2 linked regions of the Oryzias latipes genome follow. The protein of the gene in region 1 binds, or shares a complex with, the protein of each later gene. Links are inferred from orthologs where the notes say so. Each region holds a gene or a part of one and is shown on either strand. Other genes may lie near its edges.

What was found. Proteins that work in one complex are often made in the same cells at the same time.
Region 2: nup43 (region 1) and nup37 share a complex: the UniProt entries of both Homo sapiens proteins name them as parts of the nup107-160 subcomplex of the nuclear pore complex. The link is inferred for Oryzias latipes from reciprocal best matches to the Homo sapiens genes NUP43 and NUP37.

Annotation. Positions count from the first base shown.
Region 1 is NC_019882.2:17,709,194-17,715,824, reverse strand, and holds nup43 (nucleoporin Nup43), read right to left. Parts: upstream 4,355-6,631; 5' UTR 4,237-4,354; coding exon 4,117-4,236; intron 3,936-4,116; coding exon 3,813-3,935; intron 2,897-3,812; coding exon 2,819-2,896; intron 2,736-2,818; coding exon 2,573-2,735; intron 2,503-2,572; coding exon 2,367-2,502; intron 2,272-2,366; coding exon 2,120-2,271; intron 2,042-2,119; coding exon 1,925-2,041; intron 721-1,924; coding exon 491-720; 3' UTR 362-490; downstream 1-361. Other genes in the region: pcmt1 (protein-L-isoaspartate(D-aspartate) O-methyltransferase), read left to right, coding at 4,576-4,753. UniProt on the Homo sapiens protein: Component of the Nup107-160 subcomplex of the nuclear pore complex (NPC). The Nup107-160 subcomplex is required for the assembly of a functional NPC.
Region 2 is NC_019881.2:20,073,959-20,080,810, reverse strand, and holds the start of nup37 (nucleoporin Nup37), read right to left. Parts: upstream 3,983-6,852; 5' UTR 3,893-3,982; intron 2,884-3,892; 5' UTR 2,876-2,883; coding exon 2,720-2,875; intron 2,636-2,719; coding exon 2,514-2,635; intron 1-2,513. Other genes in the region: parpbp (PCNA-interacting partner), read left to right, coding at 4,568-4,717, 6,811-6,852. UniProt on the Homo sapiens protein: Component of the Nup107-160 subcomplex of the nuclear pore complex (NPC). The Nup107-160 subcomplex is required for the assembly of a functional NPC.

The DNA.
Region 1 (6,631 bases):
GATTACAAGAAAAAGATCTTTAAAAAAAATCGTTTCAAATTGTTTAAAATGACTAGTGCTTCATAATACTATGAATTTTCCTTAAGGTAGGCAGTATAATTTCATATGTTTGTCTTCATCTGTGAGTATTAGTCCTCAAAAGATGATTAAACAACAGTCAAGTAAAAAAAAAAAATAGAATTTCTGTGAGGAAGTATTACTTTAAGATGTTTAACACATTTAATTTGAAATCAAGACCATTTTTCCCTGTGTTCTTAGCAGCTGACTTGTTTGTTTTTTTTTTTTTTTTACACAGTGTAAATACAAATCTATCAAATAATCGTAAATATTGGAAAATAAAAAAACAAGACTGACAATAAAACAACTTTTTAGACTTATTTGAGCGTTTATTTGTAATTTAATAACCTTTTAAATCAAATCTGTACAAAACACAGTCAGAACACAACATGAGGACAGTAACATCTCTTTCCTCACAAAAGACACTTATTTTTTAAACTGGGACATGTCTGTTGACAAAAATGGCCTCTCCGTCGGTGCCGCAGACGAGACACTGTCCGATGATGTCCAGGCTGTTGACGGACATGGTCTGGCTGGGCAGCATGTGCGTCGTCTCCAGGCAGCCTTTGCCAGAATCTCCGCAGAGCCAGGCGCTGCTGAGGGGGCGGTTCCCGCCAGCGGGGGTCAGCGCGCCGTGGGAGATCACGCTGCTGTTCCTGCCACCTGTCAACAGTTCAAACAATCCAACGTTCACCCCCAACTGCAAATATTCTCAGAATTACCCCAAATTCTATCAAAAATGCAGAGTTTACACTCTAGGATTGAGATTATTGTCCCTGTATTTGTTTCAGCGTCATTGGCTTTAAACTCTAAACTTCTTTAAAATTTCATAACAAATCTTGTCTCATATTAACCCTTTCAAAAGACTGACTTTGTTTTTAGCCAAAACACACAAATCTCTGTTGTACAAATCAGGACTGATAAGCTGTAATTAGACTTTAGAGAACTTCTGAGCTGTCAACAAGATCGTTTTAGTTTGAAGTGAAGGGATGTTTGATGAACACAAAGCAGAGGAATGTGCAAAGTCATGACTGTGTCCTCAGAGTCAACAACCAGAGAGAGAAATGTCTAAATAATTCTCAGAGAGCTACAACGCTGAGGAGGAAGGAGGAAATAAAAATTAGCTAAATCTCTACTTGGAAAGTCAAAGACACCAGGGAGCGAAATCAGAAATTGTTGTCAAAATATTCGGAGCTCTGCACAGAAATGAATGGAGAGGACGCATTAAAAAAAAAAAAAAGGAGTCAGACTGAAGAGTCTATATGTTCAAGCTTAAAGTGAATGAAAAACATTTCCAGAAAAAAATTACATTCAAAAGTACACAATGTAACCTCGAGTCATCCCTCCTTTGAAGTGGAAATGACATTGTCATGACCTCTATCACACAACATCAATCATGTCATGGTAACCAATGGGCTCAAAGCCCCGCCCCCATATAACACTAGCCTGAATAAGTACAGGAAGGGTATCTGGTTTAAAACTCTGCCAAACCACCTTTGCGAAACAGTGACAGCTGTATTTCAGAGTTTCAATTTTAAAATCTGGTTTTCCAGTCAATTTGAGATGATCCTGATTTGACCCTGTGTGTTTTAAGTGACATAAAGAAAGAAGAATGCATAAAGATAAAAGCTTCAAATCTGATCCATGGCTTTCTCTTTTTAAAGTTCCAATTCCAATCATCTTTGGATCCATTGTAAAAGCCTTCCCTGTGGTCTTTTTATTATGATTATGCTGCTAAGAACTCTGAGCAGCGAGCTGGGTTTTTTTTTTCAAACTGCCTCCATCATCAGAAAAAAGAAAAGAACATGTTGGAAACACCAAAAAACAAAATTTTCATCGGAGTGCCTCTTCACTGATGACGACTTGCCTTGTAAGAATGAGGGCATCTCGGAATGCGAGGCAGTTTCCCAGTGCAGCAGCGAGCCGTCCTCCGAACACGTGAACAGGTGATCCGGGTTTGTGGGGTGGAAGCGAACCTCCCACACTGACGAGGAAATCCAAAGGAAAGTTAGTGAAACAGAACCAGAGATATGTTTAAAGTGAAATAAAGAAAGGATCTGACTTTCAGCCGAGTGTGCCTCCATGAGTGAGATGGGCGTGCCCCCCTGTCTCACGTCCCACACACAGAGCATGCCGTCCTGGCCCCCGGTGGCTACGATGTGCTGCTGGTTGGGATGTCTGTCAACGCAGTGCAGAGGAGCTCTGTCTCCTGACCTGGTGGAAAAAAAGACAAACAAGTAAAGGTGTGTTTCTGAAAGGATAAAGATACATAAAAAAATAATAAATACATCAAATTTCAGAGCTCTTACAGGGACAGAATCTGCGATGGGGAGCTGCTTTGCTGCCTGAGGTCCCACAGCTTCAGCTGGCCAATGGAGTTCACCGTCAAAACCTCCGTGGTCTTCAGGTAAGTCACCGCGTGAATTGTGCTGCTGTCTGCATTCTCTAACAAACACAACGGACAGTTTTAGACTCGACTCCTGATGAGGCGGTAACATCCGAGTCCTCATCTCACCGATGACCCGGACCGCTCCTTCCTGGTCGGCTCTGAAGACCACGATCCTGCCGTCCTCCCCGACAGTGACAATCTCCGGGCTGCTGCAGACCAAGGCGGTGCAGGGCGCGTTGTCACAAGGGTAGCTATGCGCCCTCGCCCAGTGCTGCAGAACTGAAATGGTCTGTTCAGGAAACAAAAAGGAAACCCGTTTTTAAACATGACATTTTGTTTTCTCCTCAAGAAAACCGAAAAGAAACAACGTACATGAGTGTTTGGATGATAGCGGAAAATAGTGACTGCTCCCGTTGATGACGCTGAGACCATCCGTTCCTGGTCCAAGAACTAAAACATGAAACAAAGAAAAACAAGAAAAATTACTTTATCCAAACAATGTACACATTTAAAATCATTTAAAATTAAAACCTATTGTAAAAACATTCCCAGTGTTTTTTTTATTATGATTATGCAGTTTTTAGCAAAAATCAAAAACCCTGTGTTGTTCCTTAAGACATAATTTCTGCAGAGCAACAGAAGCTCATTAGAAATTTGTTTCTGGGTTGTGGATGGGACTGTTAGCGTGAAAGTGACCCTACCATGATTTCCCAGCATTCCTTTGTTTACACGCTTTCCTGCTACCTAACAGCCGCTCACAACCCCAATCTAACATTAGCGTAGCACAAGAAAAAAAAACAACCTGCCGTACAGTTTAGATTTAGATTCCAGCTCAGACAAAGGAAAACAAAGACGGATGTGGATCTATTTGTCTGCGTGCGGAACAGGGAGACTTTGGCCCGCCAATGGCAGTTGCTGCATCGCAAACCGGGTCCTTATCCATTACAATTTAAATAAAAAAGTCCTCGTAAATGCAGTGCTAAGCTTAAATCCTTTTGTCCTCCATGATGAGAAAAATGCTACAAAAACATGTTAAAAACACACATATCTGAGTGAACCATCCAACATAATAAAGTGGGAAAATCCAGAAGAATTGAACAAAAATGTAATCAAATAGTTACACAAATTGATCAAACATTTGGGTGTGAGCTTCTGAAGGATCTTTATGACTTTATAACTGCTGACACTTATTTGACATGCTGAATAATTTTAATGACAGAAAAGGGAACATTTAAAATTTCGTTTTGGTTTTGTGCTCATTTCTATTTTTCATTTAGTTTGTTTATAGGCCTAAATAAAGAAATGGCTCCACAGATCAAACATCAACACCGATGATTCCGTCATTAGAAGCTTTTGGGTTTCTTACTTGCAGGTCCAGAACATCTCCGCCATGTTTGTGCTCACATAAAATTTGTGGGTCTCCTTCAAATCCGTCTTCTAATCCAGAATTGTTGTGATTTCCAATGGACCAGATAGACACCTTGTTGTCCTATAAATCAACGGGTTTCACATTAAACTCAGTGAACATTTAAATCACGACGACAAATGAATCAAAACAATTTTTTAAAGTGTATTTAAATAATTTAAATTAATAAAAAAAATTGAGTTAATTAGCAAGCGATCTTAATAATTTGTGTGGTTTTGCGCTAGTAGTAGTACTACTAGCTAACCTCGTTGTCCCACGAGCCCGTAGCAAAGACTTCTGGTTGTTGCAGTGAAGAATAGGAAACCGGACACCATCTCGTCTTACTGATTTTCTGAGACACATATTTGGCATTTATGCTCTCCATGGAAATTGAAGCCTTTTTGTTAAAATTTGAAGTGTTGTTTTCAGTTTACGGACTACACGAGAAACTACGCGCCTGCTGCTTCATACGTAACTACGGTGGCCCGAGAAGACCAGATCACAGTGTGCTATTCTTCTTTAAATTAATAGATAATCTGTTTCCCCCTAGCGGCCGACTTCTTTATTACCCAACAATTCCAATAAAGCAGAGACAGAGGAATTCCCTCTTTAAACTGACACTGGGCTCAGTACGTATCTAATTGGGTTTGTATTTTATTAAACTGTACGTGTTTTGTTAAAAGGGAGTGTATGTGAAAGGCGGCCCGGTAATAAAATCATTTGGATGTCTGGTGACGTATCCGCTCCGCCGTCTCCGCTCGAGGTTGCGAGCTTCATCGGGAAAACTGTTGGCGCAGGCGCGGCACTGACAGCTGCTGTCTACTTACTCCGCAAAGTCTGCTTAATAATGGCCTGGAAATCTGGAGGAGCCAGTCACGCAGAACTTGTCACCAACCTTCGCAGTGAGTCTTGTAGCGTTTTTAAGGTGGCATCGGCAAGCAATTCACCCGCGCGACGCTGGAAAACTGTTTTCGGGCGCGTGCTTGTTAGCGCAGGTGCGGTAGCTAGCTGGTTGCTTAAACTGTTAACCACTGTTGCCCCTAGTTTCTCCACCCCCTTTTTTTTTTTTTGCCAAACCACGTTACGCCGTGGGACACGCGCGCGCTTCTGTCATTTTAGATCAAAATAAAAGCACTAAACACCCAAATTACATAATATTTGCATTAAATATTTAGGGTGTATTGTGATGTTAGCCCGGCCAGCTAGCTATGTATGTGCGTCATGTAGGAGCATGTAGCTAGCGTTAGCAGCGGCGCTAGCTGTGTGCCCTGCCCACATCCATTGATGTCTGTCTGCACTGGCCACTGCGCTGTCATTTCACTGACGAGAACAGTTTAAACCGTAAAGCTCGACTCTGGAAACCACCCTTCTGTTGCACGAGACAGAAATTCACATTTGCTGTGTCACGATAGCAGCTAGCAACATCGAAAGAGCGACTTAGTGCCAAGTCCAACTCGGAATAAATGGTAATGTCATTTTGACACTTAGCCTTTTTGTTCATAATAAGCCTTTAAGCCAGTACATCAACTTATTTAATGCTAATATGTGAATTTAATACGATATTTGCAGACTTGAGTGTGCGTCAACATTCACTGTCAAGTATTTGCCAGCTCTATTTATACTCTCTGTGCTGTCAGGGGTATCATTGCTCGCTTTTTTGCCCATAGCTGCGTGTTTAGGAGGGCATCAGTCTCTATATCTGCTTATCTCAGTCCAGACATGTTTGCTTCCGACTAGCACACTTCATTTGGATTGAAGCAGACCACATGCAGAAGGCATGCTGATCAGTCTGCCACCTCTGGCTGAACCTTTCAACCCTGCAGGCTTTTGTTAAGGACCTTTTGTGGTTATATTGGCTTTATGCAAATAGGTACAGTTAAAAAAGTGATCATGTGGACTGTATATAATAATGCTCAAGAGTTTTATCATCTTATTTTGCTAATATTTTACATGTGCATTCTTAATATTTAAGTCTTCATTGTTCATTTTTTCTGCTTGGTGACAATAAAGCTTTTGATTGTATTCCAAACATAAGAAATCGAGCTCATGTATCTTCCTTAAAGGGTCATGAAAAATCAACTTTTTTTTAGCTTTTAAGTGTATTATAATGTTCATTCTTCACTGTAAACAACCTCAAAGCAGTATTTTGATCTGTTCTTACATTTCTGAGTATTCCTCTAAAAACGTCTTAGGTTTTCAGAGGAATACTCTGTGTGTGTGTGTGTGGGGGGGTGTGTGTGTGTGTGTGTGTGTGTGTTTGTGTTTGTGTTTGTGTGTTTATTCAGGAATACACACACACACTTTCTGCGTGGTGCCAGTGGTGATTGGTCAAAACACGTTCCTTTACTCTGCACAGTATGCACATCCATCCCTGTAAAGGTTTGGATGTTGTTTGTTTTCCTGGGAGACTCAGACACGCTGCCAAGGCCGGCTCTATGTTGAGGTCATGCAATGGGCGACACCCACACAGAGAGAAAGGCGGAGCCTCAGAGACCAAGTCGTCTTATTTCCGGGTTGGAAAATGAAGTGTGAAAATAACTCGTATTTCATAAAAAGATCATTCTTTAGTGTGCCAAAGGTAATATATTATCATATACATGGATATAGTTCATTGTGAAAGTATTGGAAAAGCATGAAATAGGCCCTTTAATCCACAAACTACAGTGTAAATGCAACCTGTTTAGATAAGTGTGACTGTTCTTTTGAGTGTTAACATTACAACATCTAAATTTTATGTCCATAATTCTGTCCCGCTGCAGTCCATGGTCTGCAAAGCCAAT
Region 2 (6,852 bases), on another chromosome or scaffold:
AACTTTTTACCCAAGGGTGCCAAACTATTACATTAATCGCAATTATTTTCTACAGACATTTAAGTGTATATATATATTTTTTTAAACGCGTTAATTTCCTTTTCGCGTCGGTTGGTTACTTCCATGAAGTCGGTTCATGTCTGATAACGCACACGGTTATCCCACGTCATGCCAATGATTTTCAAAAAAAAATAATAATAAATCAATTATCAGAACTTCAACCCTATTATATTTTTAAATTTAGATAGCTTTTCACAAATAGTGGACTATTTAAAACGTGGTGCGATCTGTTGTCATGGTAACAGCTACAGGGCTTGCAGCGACTTTGCTCTGCTCAAATTACCGGTAACTACATTTGTCATTTTTGCTATGATAACATTTAGTTAAAGGGCAGAGTCTGTTTGAAAGATAGTTCTTTGAGGAAGAAGGTTTTGTTGATGTTTAGGAGATCCAAATACTGCCTGAAAAATTGAACCAGCACAGAAACAATCTTGATGGTTAAAAAATTATGTTTTTATAATTTTTATTCTGAGGCCAAAATTAAAATAAACCTTTTATTTCACTTTGGCAGAACTCCCCATCCCTGTGTATAAGAGGTTACATTCAAACGGCTTGTAAACTTGCCATGTTAACAAGATGTACAATTACTGTGAGACGGTGGTCGCCCCATCATCATTAGAGGATTGTTCAGGATTAACGTCCAGCAGAGCAGAATGTAAACAACAACACCCAAAACCAAAAACCCCCCATTTCCCGTGAAAGCCAGAATCTGCTCGGAACAACAGATCCTGTCAACACAAGCCTTTGGCTAAACGTATCTGCCTCAAATCATTCTGATTAGGGACTAAAAAACTTTCTACATCGATGCAAAACCATTTGATTGAATCTAATGAGCATTTAAATGTCCCAGAGATTGAAGCTGATTCTGTTAATAACCAGAAGGACTCAGATAAAACTCACCTTCAGTGCTAAATTTATGGATTACAAATCTCCCCACAGGCTCTAAGTAGAATGAAACTGATTGGTTTTCGGTTTAAAATGATATCAGAGACAAGAGTAACTCTCTTGTTTGCCTCTTGTGGTTTCTTCCAGAACTGACCCGATTACTATTACTTCAGTATTGAAGTCATACAGACTAAGGTTTGGTTTTTGTTTCACTGGAGTGTGATGTCATCAACAGAAAATGACTTACTTCCAGCTCAAATCAAATCAAATCAAGTCAACTCAGTTGGTATTTTTTCCACAATCCAGACGCCGCCATGTTGGAGCCAGATGTCATGGGTAAGCAGTGATTGGTTAGAGTTGGTCTGAGTCAACATTTCCATGGTAATCCCTCTCACCAATCAGTTGTTAGAAGGCCACACCCCTAGCACTTAGAAGTAGGCTACACAAAATCTGTCAAAGGTTTCAAGAGTTGCATGTGGCACCACCCACTTTTTTTTAGACTTCTTATTGGTCAGTTTAAAAAAGGCATCAGTGCAAGAATGGTTATTCTGGAAAATAGAATGACTGATTAATAGTCTATGGGATTTTGGCTTCTTGGAGCCAGCAGGTACTTCCTGTTTGGAACCCAAACGGGGAGGGTTCACTCAGTCCAGATCTCATATATACAGTCAGTCTTTCTATAAGAATCGTTGAGGGCCAACGTGTTCAGATAAAGAGGACAATCCTTAGTTTGGATGGTTCAGAATTTTTCTAAATATTTCAGTTTGCTCCTAAAAAAAATTTTTTTTCTTCTGATGAATCTACAGCAAGGAGGGTGGACAAAACACACAAAAACAAAATAAATGATGATAAAATGGCTAGCTTAAACAGGTTTTGCTAACTTGGATACTTTATGGCAACTTTTTAAACACCACAAACACTTAAACACAAATATTCCCAGTCTTTTAACGACTAGAAGCCTGTATTATTCGGATTTCTCTTGGTGGTGGAGCAGCATGTGCTGCCCTCCATCATCTCCACTCACTGCATTAACACAGGACAGCATCTACAGAGTAGTACCTACCAGCTGTTGTCACAAACCTTTACTGCCCCATGTCCCGAATAAAATCATTGTCTTAGGCTCCGGGCTTGCAATAATGATGCATTTCGTAGCATCCATTAAGATTATTCTTAAGCAATTTTGAAAAGGTTTATGGAAATATAGTATGAAAACCAATATAAATGAGTGACAAATTAGCAAATTCAAATACGTTCCATCACCTAAAGCTATTTTCTTTGACATTCTTTGACTTTAACAAACAATAAAAAAGAAAGAAAGAAAGAAAGATACGCAACAAAAGAAAGAGTTTTAAGTTCCCAGCAAGGTCGTCTAACCGTCAGCCGCATAAAGATTTTATTCTACAAAATCAAAGACAACATAAAGGCTTTTGCTTTAACTTCCAAGTTTCAACCTCAACTGTAGATTTTGAAAACAAACCTATTGATCTCCTTTGACTGTTCTCCTGCACATTTATTCTGTAGTATGGATACATTAAATGATCCCCCTTTATCTTATCAAACGGTGATACCTGAGAGTGGGTATTCTATCCAGCCGGGATTCGGGGCTCCAAGCCAGAGCATCCACACGCAAATCATGATGAAAAGCTCGCAGGACGTTAAACTCGACTCCTTCCACCTCCATGTCCTCCTCCTGCAGGGCCACATTTGGTGTCATTAAGGTGACAACAAAAAAAAAAAACCTCCAAACTGTGCTGTGTCAATCTGTGTCAGAAACCTGGAAAAGGCAGGTGGCCACCACCACAAACTGGTTCCCACCATAGGCCAGGAGGGAGGCCGAGGTCCCTGAGCTGAAAGGACTGAATTCTACCACATGGACATAATCGTCACACGGCACCGTATAGGAGGGACTGCGAACAGATTCCTCCTGCATGTTTATCCCTGTCACACAACAGAAAGAAAGGAAACAGATTCCTATTTTTGTTCATTTTTACAAAACAAAAAGAGATACAAGCATGAAAAAAGTAACAACTTTAACATTTTTTCTTTATACATCTCCGGAGCTCCTCTTGCTCAGTTTACTGATCTTTACTCTTTCCACATGTTAACATAAGAGATGGTTTATATGAAAACTCCCAGCACTCTTATTTATTTATTTTACTTCATATCTTTTTTTGGTACTCTAATTTACCAAAATCAGAAGTAAAAAAGATGTTTCCAATAAAAAAAAAGTAACAATAAGCTTTGGATCAAAAAAGTTTTTTTTATATACAGATGGGTAAATTGACCAGATTAGTGCAGAATATATCCCTCAATATATTGATTGGTTAATAAAAGTAATGCAGTTCTATTGCCTCTAACAACTTTTTTTTGTTGCACCAAACTACTTTAACTAAAAACAGTACATATATACTATACTTTAATAGGTTGTATTAGTGTTTTTATTTTATAATACAGAGGTTTAAGATGAATCTAAACAAGAATCAGAATCTATACCAGACTGGAGGACTAACACGTCAAGTTAAAATATTGGCTTGTTGCTCTTTAGCAAATATGCAGTAAGTTTGCCTCTTTTAGGGCATTTTTAACAAGCTACACTCACAATTCTGGTATTGTTTAGCCTAAGCTAAAAATGAATGTGATGAGCAGGCAAGATTAATAGAATACAAATAGTGTATCGTCAAAACCAGAAACTTTAACAGGATTAAAATAGTACATTTTAAATGTTCAAAGAGAACAATATTTTCTTTTCCCGTGATGATAAATTTACGAGTTTAAAAAAAAGAGAAAACGATTTATTTATTCGCAGGAGCAGAAAGAGAAAGCGACCACGATGCTAGAAGCTAATACGAAAAAGAATGGCGCTGTTTTGTTTTAAACCGACTAGGCACAGACTAGTTTTCATAAATAATAATTTTCTGCTTATTTCTTCTAAGAATACATATATTACCGGCGCGTGCGTTTCCTAGTTGCCCGCGCTTGAAGTGTTTACCATTTATTTCCGCATACGACACGGAACGTACCAGTAGTTGGAAAAAACCAAGGGGAGACTGAAAGACGAAAAGATAAACGAATCAAATTATAGACAACATTAGAAAACTTGGAACAAAAATATAAATCGACAAATATGTTCCTAAACATAAATATAATCAATCTGGTTTGAACATTTGATTCTGATTTATTTTTTATTGTTGGAAGCGTCCGATGCAGTTTGCTGAAATCTGATTGGCTAGAAGGTGTTAAACGTCATCGTCATTTAAAATTTCAAAACAGCTGCTCTACGGTGTGCGCCTAGTTCGGCAGAAACATTGAAACACCACAACAGGTTTGAATATTTATTTAAATAGGTAATATTTTATTTTATTTTTATTATTGTGACTTTTTATACCTGAACCTTATACGCATATATATTTATACAGATACATATTTATAGAGGATTTAAATAAGCTGAGAATACAAAACCTTTGGGGGGGGGGGGTACTTTGAACAAGGTTACTGTTCTTCAGTGCAAAAATCATTTGAGTTGACCATTTTCTTGTGCATTTTTTGCTCTAAATAATAACGTGTTTGATGCAAAGATAGATGTATTTATTGTGTCTTCTGTAACCTCTTACTTAAGGATAAAATGGAAGCTTTAGGAGAAAGACTTAACCTGATGGTGAAAACCTTCAGGAGGGAACGCCACAGAGTTTCACAGTCTGAAAGGACCACGGTTCATGGAGCTGACAGCATGCTGATGGTTCTTCAGCTGGCCATGGCCGACGTTAACAAAAAGGTAGTAGTCTGTGCTCTTTCCTGTTAAATGTATAAATGCTGTTCCACTTTATTAATCTCACAGAGGAGAAATTTACCTGTCATGGCCTCTCTGGAGAAAAACAAATCACCAAGCAAGTAAATAAATAGATACATAAATAAACCGTTTTTATGACCTAGTTACACAGAGGAGTTGGTCAGTTTGATGAAATAAATGACCTGCGGTAACATTCATGCCTACACTAGGGGTGTCTGAATATTTTGCTGAAGGAACCTCCCAGTCCCTTCACAGTCAGCTGCAGTGGGTGAGAGCTGTTGTCCTGGATGGATGTGAGGTTGATTGACATCCTCCTCTCACCCACCGAGTCCGACCTGGTCCTCCTGACCAGCCTATTCAGTACCGGTGCTGCTCGTTTCCCAGCAGAAAAACGGCATAGAGGGGAGCAGAGGCAAGCACAGAGTCAGAAAAAGTCCTGAGCAGAGTTCAAACCACCTCCGTCTCCTCAGAAGTTGGTGGTAACTTTGTCCCTTCTTACAAAGGTCATCAGTATATTGCTAGGGTGAACACCTAGGCCAGGGGTGTCAAACTCATTTTCACCGAGGGCCACATCGGCATAGTGGTTGTCTTCAATGGGCCAGATATAAATGATAAATGTAACTAAATGTAATGAAAAACAAATGTACCTACTCCTCAATGTTAAATAACTCATTTATTTGTTTATTATAACTTTTTAAAGTGACAATTACAGTTGCATAGAAAACATATTTGCTTGCTACTTTAGCATAAATCCTTTTAAATTTGATTCTGACAGGTTAGGTTATATGGAGAGTCCTAATGTATAGTTGCCCAATCCCATATTTCAAGTCCAATTCTCCCTAGATATGAATAAATACACACCAATTTTTAATTTTTTATTTTAAGAAATTGGCCACGTTTGGCCCGCGGGCCTTGAGTTTGACACATGTGACCTAGGCACTTGAAACCGTCAACCATGACAATGTCGGTTCACTGGTGTGTGTGGCTGCCGTTCTTTGTCATTAAAGTACATTTATAGAATAGAACTGTAAAGAACCACTCAAATAACAATGGTGTTTGTGGTGTTTTTAACATGTTCTTGTGGTATTTTTCTCAGGATGGAGAACATATATAAACAACATTAAGCTGAAACATTGAATTTCTGAGTATTTCTTTATTCAAATTCAAAACCAGATGCTGTTTGAAAATGATCGTATATTTGTGACGTAGAAAATAGCTCCGTTCTGATGCATCCTCTTACGGACGACTAGATCCATGGACGTCTTTGTTTTCCTCGTCTGAGCTGGTATCTGGCTCAAACCTGTATGGGTGGATAGCTCCAACATTGCTGGCCATCTTTGTTGCACCGCTAATGTTAGTTTGGGAGTGTGTGAAGCGTTAACAGGAGGGAAGCCATAACCGTATGTTACGTATGCTACACCATTGAACCAAACCTTAGGGAAATTGAATCCTTGCATTCCTGCTGCATACCAGCCTGTTTTCATTGAAAGTGTCAAACAATTGTTCTAAATCCACAGAGAATTTATTATTTTATCACATGACACCAGAATTGTATTTTTACTTGCTTAATGGCAAATCAAAACAAATCTTTTTTCAGATTTTGTTGATGTGGTCCCACCCACAACTGATGGGGGTGAATTGCTAATGAACTCTGCAGAAACTCTGTCCTATAAAACGTCACAGATTTTTAAAATTTTGATTAAAAATGCATAATCATAATTAAAAGTCTACTGGAAATGGTTTGAAAATAGATCAGAAGATGATTGGACTAGGTCTTAAAGGATAAAAAAAAACAATAAATAGAGCTCAAATAATTTAAATGTGGTTAAAGCACATTAAACTCTAAATTAACATATAAAACTGTTGATGATTTGTTGTTGAGGTGAACTCCTATGTTTTTACGAGGAGGGATGAATCCTATCCAAGCCCTGAGACAGACCATCATCAGAAGTGGTGACACTACCACTGCTTTCCGATTGAGACCGCTCATGGCTCATTTTTGGCAGAAAAAGGTCCGTCTGTGATGGAAAGGATCGGCTCCGGCGTTACAGCTGCTGCTTTCTCTTTTCCTGCGACAGCGCGGCGGAGAGTTCCAAGTGTCTCTGAGTGATGTCCTGATG